Oryzias latipes: one gene and its partner. The protein of the gene in region 2 purifies or fractionates together with the protein of the main gene of each other region. This does not show direct contact. Links are inferred from orthologs where the notes say so. Each region holds a gene or a part of one and is shown on either strand. Other genes may lie near its edges.

The links. Proteins that work in one complex are often made in the same cells at the same time.
Region 1: the proteins of twistnb (region 2) and protein POLR1D purify together in Homo sapiens (affinity purification with mass spectrometry; 3 studies listed by BioGRID and IntAct, counting the BioPlex papers as one, with this or other methods). This does not show direct contact. The link is inferred for Oryzias latipes from reciprocal best matches to the Homo sapiens genes POLR1F and POLR1D.

Annotation. Positions count from the first base shown.
Region 1 is NC_019878.2:17,475,414-17,479,550, forward strand, and holds the start of protein POLR1D, read right to left. Parts: upstream 2,842-4,137; 5' UTR 2,784-2,841; exon of another isoform or gene 2,723-2,783; 5' UTR 2,703-2,722; coding exon 2,677-2,702; intron 2,228-2,676; coding exon 2,153-2,227; intron 768-2,152; coding exon 428-767; 3' UTR 1-427.
Region 2 is NC_019869.2:9,793,501-9,797,913, reverse strand, and holds the start of twistnb (DNA-directed RNA polymerase I subunit RPA43), read right to left. Parts: upstream 2,832-4,413; 5' UTR 2,791-2,831; coding exon 2,495-2,790; intron 1-2,494. UniProt on the Homo sapiens protein: Component of RNA polymerase I (Pol I), a DNA-dependent RNA polymerase which synthesizes ribosomal RNA precursors using the four ribonucleoside triphosphates as substrates.

The DNA of each region.
Region 1 (4,137 bases), on a different chromosome or scaffold from region 2:
TAACCACAAAAGAATGGTTAATGACATTATAATGGAGCTACAGCCACCTTTACAAAGTGGAACATGATAAAACAAATATTAGCTTTGATATGATTTTTAGATTATATCCTAAAAAGTATATTTGATGTTTCGTTCTGGTGCATAAAGATTCATGTTAGAACTGTAAGAGGATCAATTATTCATGCCTGAAAACACAAAATATTTATTTCCTTTTACTCTCTTCATTCATTCATTCAAAAGCTGTAATACAAATTGTATATTCTGTCACTGTACAATTCGTTGTGATCAGCAGAGGTCCTTCTAGTCTGTCTGGGTCTCTGTGAGGGTGAGAGGGCTCTACAGAACTATTTCAAGTCAGCCATACTCCTCCAGCCAATTAATTTTTCAGTAGAGCATCAAGGCTACCTTTAAAACACAGCAAGTTCATTCATGAAGAACTTCTTTTTCTGTCTCCGTTTGGTCCATCGGCATGCTTCCTGTCTCTGCTGTTGTCCCCGTGTCTGTCAGATTTGTTCTTATCTTTGTCCAGTTCCTTATCTCGGTTTGAACGGGTGTGATGTTTATGGTCTTTGTGGCGTCCATTACTCCTGTGGTCTGTCGGAGGTGTTCTGCTGCGGTCACACCGTCTGTCACGGGACTTGTGGGTCAGGCGGTCTCTTGTTTTGGAGTCTGCGGTTCTCTGCTCATCGTTTCGCCGCTGCAGGCCGGTAGAGCGCAGAGTGTTGAGGAGAAAGCGTTTGTTGGTGCTCTGCAGGGGACATTTCAACCTGACAGAGAAGAAGACAACACAACCACTTAAAAATTCAGAATTAAGGTTTTTTTTTTAATCTAAAGTCTAATGTGAAAAGCGACAGTTATCTGATCAGTATATCTGACAGATGTATAGTCGTTTCCATTAAAGGACAAATTGTCTCCAGAGTACAATTTAAATTATAGGACAACTATTAAGGGCATGACTTTGCTTTAAGTTGGGAGTTAGATGCTCACCTTACTGCTTTTTGTATAATTTCACTTTTTGTTAGGTTCCCACATGAAAATAAAACATTATGGTATTGTGCTGTTTTTCCATGTTTTCTAACACTTAAAAATACTGGGTCATTCTTTAATTTACTACTAAATAGTGTGATAAGAGGTGCAAGTTTTCTGGAAATTACATAAACCAACTTTTTTTTAATATTCTGTAGTTTTTTTGGACCAGACCTAAAAAACAAAATAACATAAACCTCTTCATTAGAAACCCACAAAAAAGAATAAAGTCCTTCTAAATTTGTTTAAGATCTGTTAAACATACACAAATAAATCTTATCATTTCAAGAGACTCAATGAAGGGAGATCCAAAGAGAAACCCATTAACCATCAAACAGATCAAATACACAAAAAGTGAATAGGTCAATAAATAATTTCATGCAAAAGAAATCATTGTGCAACAATATACTTGCAAACATTTGTCGATCTAATTAATACAGATCAGTCAACAAATATTGGTTACCAAGATAAATCTATGATTGTAAATGCGACACAGTGTGAAAAAACTCAAACTGTAATTGTTACACAAAAGACAAGCCTTGCAGACTTCAGAGAACGTTGTCATGTAAATGTTTGGGATAGACAAAAAAATGTGAAAAGTTTAAGTTAGGTAACATTATAATTATGGACAGTCTTTTAAAAAAAAATTTTATTTGCCTTTTGTCCCCTCCTTTCAAGTGACTTTTGTAACTGCATTAAATGACGAGTGAATGACAGCTTCAGAACATTAGCTTTGACCTCTCACATCTGAAATAAATCAAGAAGAAAAAAATAGTTTTGATAAATCAGCGTCAGCCCAGAAAATAAAAATGTCTGAAAGCATATTTTCAATTCCAGGAAAGTTCACAGGGTTATACCGTTTTTTTTAGACATAGAATCACTACAGACACACAATCAATAAATAAATATTAATAATAAATTTAGTCTATATGTGTGTGCTTTTAGATGCCAAGAGAGACAAGTGTCTTTGGGAACCTGACGAATTATCTATAATAGAAAACTAGTTAAACACAAATACAACAATAATAGAAGCCTCCAAAAAAAACAGCTAAACCTATGAAGTAAGATTTTACATGGCGTTTTATGTGGAGGCTGTCAGGGATGACATTTCAGAACCATAACTCACCATCCTGCAGGGCCCATGGTCTCAGCTCTCACCCTGGCTCTGTCTGTCTCCTTGAGGAGTTCCTCTATAGCCCGTCTGGAGGAAAAGACGTAGAAAAATGCGGATAACAACAGAAGACCAAGATGACATAAAAGCTCAAGGGGAGACTAATATAATTATGTGCGAGCGAGGAAGAAAATAGGAGACGCGGAGGAAGTGAATCATAAGTAATTGGGACATCAGCGGTGTCCCCGTTTAACCCGACCAGCTGAGGCATTAGTCTCGCAGGGGGCTCTCTCTGATTCAGCCGATCTTATAGCACGTAGTGAGAACAGCTGTTGATTGCCAAAAGGCAGAGTGTGTTGACTGCTACACAAGATACACTCCGTCCCCTAACCAAAATAACCCCATAGCTACAGAAATGCATTATGCAAACATGCTAGCCTAATCTGGTGGTACCAGACACCATTCCCCCGATGTATTAGTTTAACCGAGCAAACGTAAACAAGTTAATCGATGATAATCTAAAAATAAAAAATACTTACTTTTCCAATTCATTATCTTCAGCCATTATGCCTGACCACCTAAAGACTTTAAAACGCAGAATTATTTCAGGAAATTTCTACAGGCTCATGTTAGGGGATTTATTTACCTCTGCGAGGTCCTTCTTTCGAGGACCTGATTTTATGACCAAAAGATGCCTGATCATTTCATTGTTTTATATTGTTAAACCATAACATTTTTTTTTAAATAAATAATGCATTTTTGTAAAATTCACGCCGTTTTTAGAACCCAAACATTTATTCTAAAGTAATTTAGTTACTAAAATAATAGTTGTAATTGTCACATTGAAAAACAAAAAATATTCCATGCCCTGTATGATCCCGAAGCTTTATCCGTTTATGTTATTACCTCTAACATATCGGAATCATAAACATATTAAAAGATTTTAATTCCCGCTGAATGGACGTTTTTGGGCAGGCGACATTGAAGCCACCTCTACTTTTTTTTTCTTTTTTTTGTGGATTGACAGCGGCAAACTCCGCCCAGTCTCTTTGACGGACAGCAGTGGGCGGGACCAGGCACCAAAGTGACGGGGGCGTTTTCGTGCAGGTTTGCGGAACGGGCCGTCCGTTGCGGCGACTGCGTGACTGAGGTCCCGCAGCTGCTAATTGTCCCGCCACCCCCGCCCCTCTTCGAGGCCCGGGCGCGGCGCAGAGGAGCAGCCTGAAGAGGTAACATCACATCTGCATCCTTTCACTGTAAGCGGCGTCAGTGTGTGTGATGCTGGCTTTTTCTGTTATTACCATTGTCGCCTCTTCTGTCCTCCCTTTTCGCTCCTAGGGGGGGTTGGACTCAGACAGTGAACGGGGGGTTTGAGAGATGGGGGGAGGGCTTATCTAAACATTGATGGTATCAAAAATATATATATATATATATTTTAGTAATTGCTTTGCAGATGGGGCGTTATTAAGGTAAATGCAGAAAATTGACAATAATAATTGAAAATGTAATTTACAGCAGGCTCAGTTTTTGTATTATTACTAATGCATGCAAAAAATAAATATATAATAATGTTCACATCAGTTCTCGTGCTGTCTTTGTGTGTTTAGTATTTGTAGGATGAAAGACATCCAAATGAGGTTTTTGTAAAATATCTGATACCTGGGTGCCTGATACACCTGAGTTTTTAAATGAGTGCCATAGAGTCTTTTGATCTTCTAAAAAGGAAACTCCTGCATGCCGCTGCCTAGTTCTCCCAAGATTAGATAGTAATCTGTGGGAAAATGAGAGCAAGTGCAGGACCGGTATCCTAATATAAAAAGATGAGCAAGTACAGCTTTGAACTCAGACAAGAAGGATTAAGAACGTGTCACACGCATCTGCAAGCCTTCACTTATTAAAAAAAATCAGCCCAGCGTGGCTTTTGTCTAAAATAGATTGTTTTTCAACTGCTTCCTGACTCAAAAATGCATTTACTGTTAAAACCGGAAGGCGTTATTTAT
Region 2 (4,413 bases):
AAGAAGGTAAATACCTAGACAAAATGTTCTGTGTGGTCCTAGTACCTAAAACTGTCCATCCCAAAGAACCCAGAGGGGATCATACTCCACCATCTTAACCCAGTGCCCAACGCTCTTGGAGGATGGCACTCTCCAGGTTCTCTGGACAACATTCAGGGCTCTCAGGTATCTCTTAAATACCGGATTCTTTAAGGTAAACTTAAGGTATGTTAAAGGCATCCCCAACCCCTGGGCGGTAGACCGGTACCAGTTTGTTGGACAAATGGTACCGGGCCGCAGAGAAAAAAACAGGACCTCCATTATTTCTGTTTTATTTAGTTCTGGGTGAAGTTTTATTTTAAAAATCTACTGGATTCTTCACCGCATCCAACTCATTCTTCAAGTCGCTTGGTTGCGTGTTGAAAATCCATCGATACTTTCTTAAAGCGTGCGCAAACTGCAGCCCCGAAGCTAGCACAGTTAGCAAAAAACAAACACATTTGGAAAGTTTCTTTTTGCAGAGAAGAGCCAGTGAGGAAACAGAAGACGATCCTTTGACTTCAAAATAAAAAAACAGCAGCATTTAACAGAAAAAAAAGGATTTATTGTGACAGTTGTTCCCACAGACAATAATAATAATACATAACATTCAACAACCAGCGGTCTAATATTACGAGGATGCTGCTAATAAAGTTGTTCAAATGGTGGATTCCCATTTATAATCATATTTAAAAATAAAACACTTTTTTTTAAATTTATCAATTGCACCATAAAAGTCGGATGAGGGTGAGGTTGGCGCTGACAGCAGCTCCACGGCGGCGGAGTAAGACGGTACCTATGTTCACGTGACTACTGCTGGTTAGTAAGCATAAAGTGGATTTCCATCTTTATGCAGACGACTGCCAAATCTTTGTTGCTATGCGCAAATGTCCCGACTGTTCAGGCAACAACTGGACGGCCAAGTGGATGTCGGCTAACTTCTTTGGGCTTAATGAAACAAAAACTGCAGTAATTATGTTTTCCCGTCGTGGTCGAAAGGATCGCGGTCTTCATCTCCTCTCGCTCGCCCCGTTTCAACAGTCTGTGGTCTATAACCTAGGCGTGAAACTCGATGCTACCTTGAAAGTGGACCTCCAAATAAAGGCTGTAACCAGGTCCTGCTTTTTTCAGCTGCAGCGTTTGGCGAGGATTATGGTTTTTTTATCCAAATTAGATTTTGTAATTGTGTAGCATCTTCTGTGTAGTCAAGGCTAAATTATTGCAGCTCCTTATATGCGGTGTCCCGCAATAGCGAGGCTGCAGCTAGTTCAAAATGCAGCCGGCAGATTTATTCGTGGTACAAAGAAATCTGAGCGCATTACCCCAATCCTGGTCTCCTTAAACTGACTGCCCATGCAATCGTTTTTTTTTTTAAAAAGAAAAAGAAAATTCCTGTTTTTGTTTTTGTCATTAGCAGGTACGGCATCTTCTTACCTAGTCTGCTTTTAAAATATTCTCCCCTCGAGTTCTTGTGCTCTGCTGACCAGTGTGTGTTACTATTGTGAGAACCACATGTAAGTTCTAAAGGGATTGTGCGTTGACTCAACATCCACCGGCTAACAGAGAGGTTACACTCTTGGAGAGCTTTAAAGCCAAACTGTTCCTCCACCATCACGCCGCTGTCTCTGCCTAGCTGCCTTTTTGTTATGTTGGTTTCAATCTCTGTTTTTATACTTATATGATGTATTCTACCTTCCCTGTGTACAGCACTTTGGGTCTACGAGGCTGGGGGTGGAAGGTACTCTAGGAATGAATACATGAAATGTAAATGTCCTTTTCAGCCAAAATGATAATAAAAATAACAAGCTTTTTTCAACAGCATTTTTTCGACAATGCTGAAGTTGGCTTCTGATTCACAGCTTCTGATTCGCGGGAGCACTAAAGAAACATTCCACTGCACTTTTCACACAGCGGTTTCTGAACAGGACCTGGTCTGAGGTGGACTCTGTGCGTAAAATGCGATACAAATCATTCTTTCACATTTTTACAAATCGGAAGAAGGTTTAATAAATCAGAACCTGCGTTTAATGCATTCTTAACTATCTAATGTATAATTTAATCCAGGTTTGAGGGGTCCAGGTCCAGCGGTGTTTTAACAGGGACCGGTTTTAGGTGATCTTAGCCCGAGAAATGCATTGAATGTTTCTTTAGTGCCCTCGCGAATCGGAAGCCAACTTCAGCATCATGTTTTTTCGTCTGCTCCTGATGATTCACAACAATTAGATTAAAAAATACTTAAAAAAGCCGTTTTAATACCAATTTTCCTTAAGATATGTCCTCCAACGTGAGAAAAATGTGACAAGAACATGTTTGAAAAAGAATTTTCATTGGAGTGCGTCTTAATGAATCATCTTAAAATTGATCCGGACACAGACAGATATTTATTGTGTTGTAGTTCATTTGGATGGATGGATAAAGTCTCTTTTTTTTTAACGCGCTTCATCTTCACAGACTCCACTAAAGGATGTCGGGGTACCTCTGGGAGAACTTCAGGAGCTCCGCTTCCAGCTCCTCCTGGATTCCGCTTCTCTTCTTGTGGAGGTAGACCGGCGGGAGGACGACGTGCCTCCTGCGGGGGTTCATCACCAGGCAGGAGTACGGCGCTGACAGCAGCTCCACGGCGGCGGAGTAAGACGGGACCAAACACGGAGCACCGCCCGCAGCTTTTTCTGCAGCTGCGGACGCTGGATCCACCGGAATCGAGCCAGAGACGGCAAGAGGTTCAGCCGACATTTTCACGTGTTTTGGTTCGGCGTGGATCAGGTTCTCCATGCTGCGTGAGAAGACCGGAAAACAAACAAGTCGTAGTTTCCGGAAAGAGGATCGACCTGCCACCAACCGAAGTTTAACATTTATGCGTATGTTGCCCTCTGCTGGTGAGGCGGTGAAACTACAGCATGAAATATGAAGCATGAGCAGAAACGTAGTCTTTTATTTTTATTTTTTATTTTTATAAATAAATGTTTCATTCTTGTTTCATTAATGTGGACTGGAATCATCAAAGCCAAAGTGGGACTATTCCCAAACAGAATGAAAGATGTTTAGAGGCAGGTAACTGAGTGCTGGGAGGAGGCGCATTACCTGGAGGTACACCGCCATTTGGAGACACAGAGTGAATGAACATGCTTCACCCTTCCCGAGGTCGAGCATGCAAGTTGCTTCCAAAGATCTTTATTAGCACCACTGTAGCCCAGACACCAGTGTTTTTTTCTTTATAAAAAAATACTTCTATTTGTTTATTTTGCATGATTGTGTGTTCTTTTAAATCTGCTCATGGATCTCTTTCCTTTCTGCATGGATAGTGGTCCTGAGTGCAGGACTGCATGGCCATTTAAGGACTGTCAGCTGGGATGAGTGGAGAGCACTGGGCAAAATACTAACCATTCACATTTTTCTCTCTTTATTTTTATTCTAGATGTGTTGTTTTCAAATATATTGTTTTATGAAACCATTTCTTTTAGATTAGACCTGTTTTAACCTGTTTTAACATTTTCAAAGTAAAAGGCCTCTGCTGTCTCTGGTCACTCCAGAGACAGCAGAGACTGCAGATCTGCCGCTTCTCGGCAGATCTAATACTTTGTACTGTAGTTCTGGGGCTTCACCCTCTTAATCTTGATGTCTTCTCTTCCTGCAATAGTGGCAATGACAAGACAGTTGTATAAATATAGGAGAATATTGTGTTATTTATTTCTATAGGAAGACTCCAATGGTCATGCCCTCCCATAGTGTTCTGTCCTTTGTTATGTAATCTGTGGAATGTTATGCAATGGAAGCCTGGTAAAGGTTCTCATTGATTCTGGATCCTCTTCTCAGTGGAAGTGTCACATTAAGATCATTAGGGTGACCTAAAGTGTGAATTTGAGCAGCTGATGAACACTCTGTCTTATATTAAACATGCGGTACTTTCAGAAACATAAAGACAGAAGCAAATCTACACTGCAAAAACAAAAACTAGTACAAAAATATATTTTTGTACTTGACATGAGACAAAACTACTTCACAAGTAACTTTTCCGTGTGGTAAAATGACTGGTTTTAAGACAACATATCCTGAACATTTTGTAGAAAATGTTTTGTTTTAAGTAATATCGCTAAAAAAACTATTTTTTGACTCATAATGTTCTTTTAATCTTGACAACTTTATCTTAGAATGTTTGATTCTAGTCTACAGCTCTTAAAGTAGGATTTTTTAGGGGGAGAAGTAGCATGTCCTGTAGGTTTACCCATCAATGTACCTACTTTACAGAAGTGAAAGGGTTTTAAAAGCAACACACGCTTTTTTAAAGACACAATATTTCCAGTTATCAAAGCAATATAACTAATTCAGGACAACATGCCTTATTTTAAGAAATCTTTCCAAGACAAATTCTACCAGTTTCTATTGACAGATTTCACT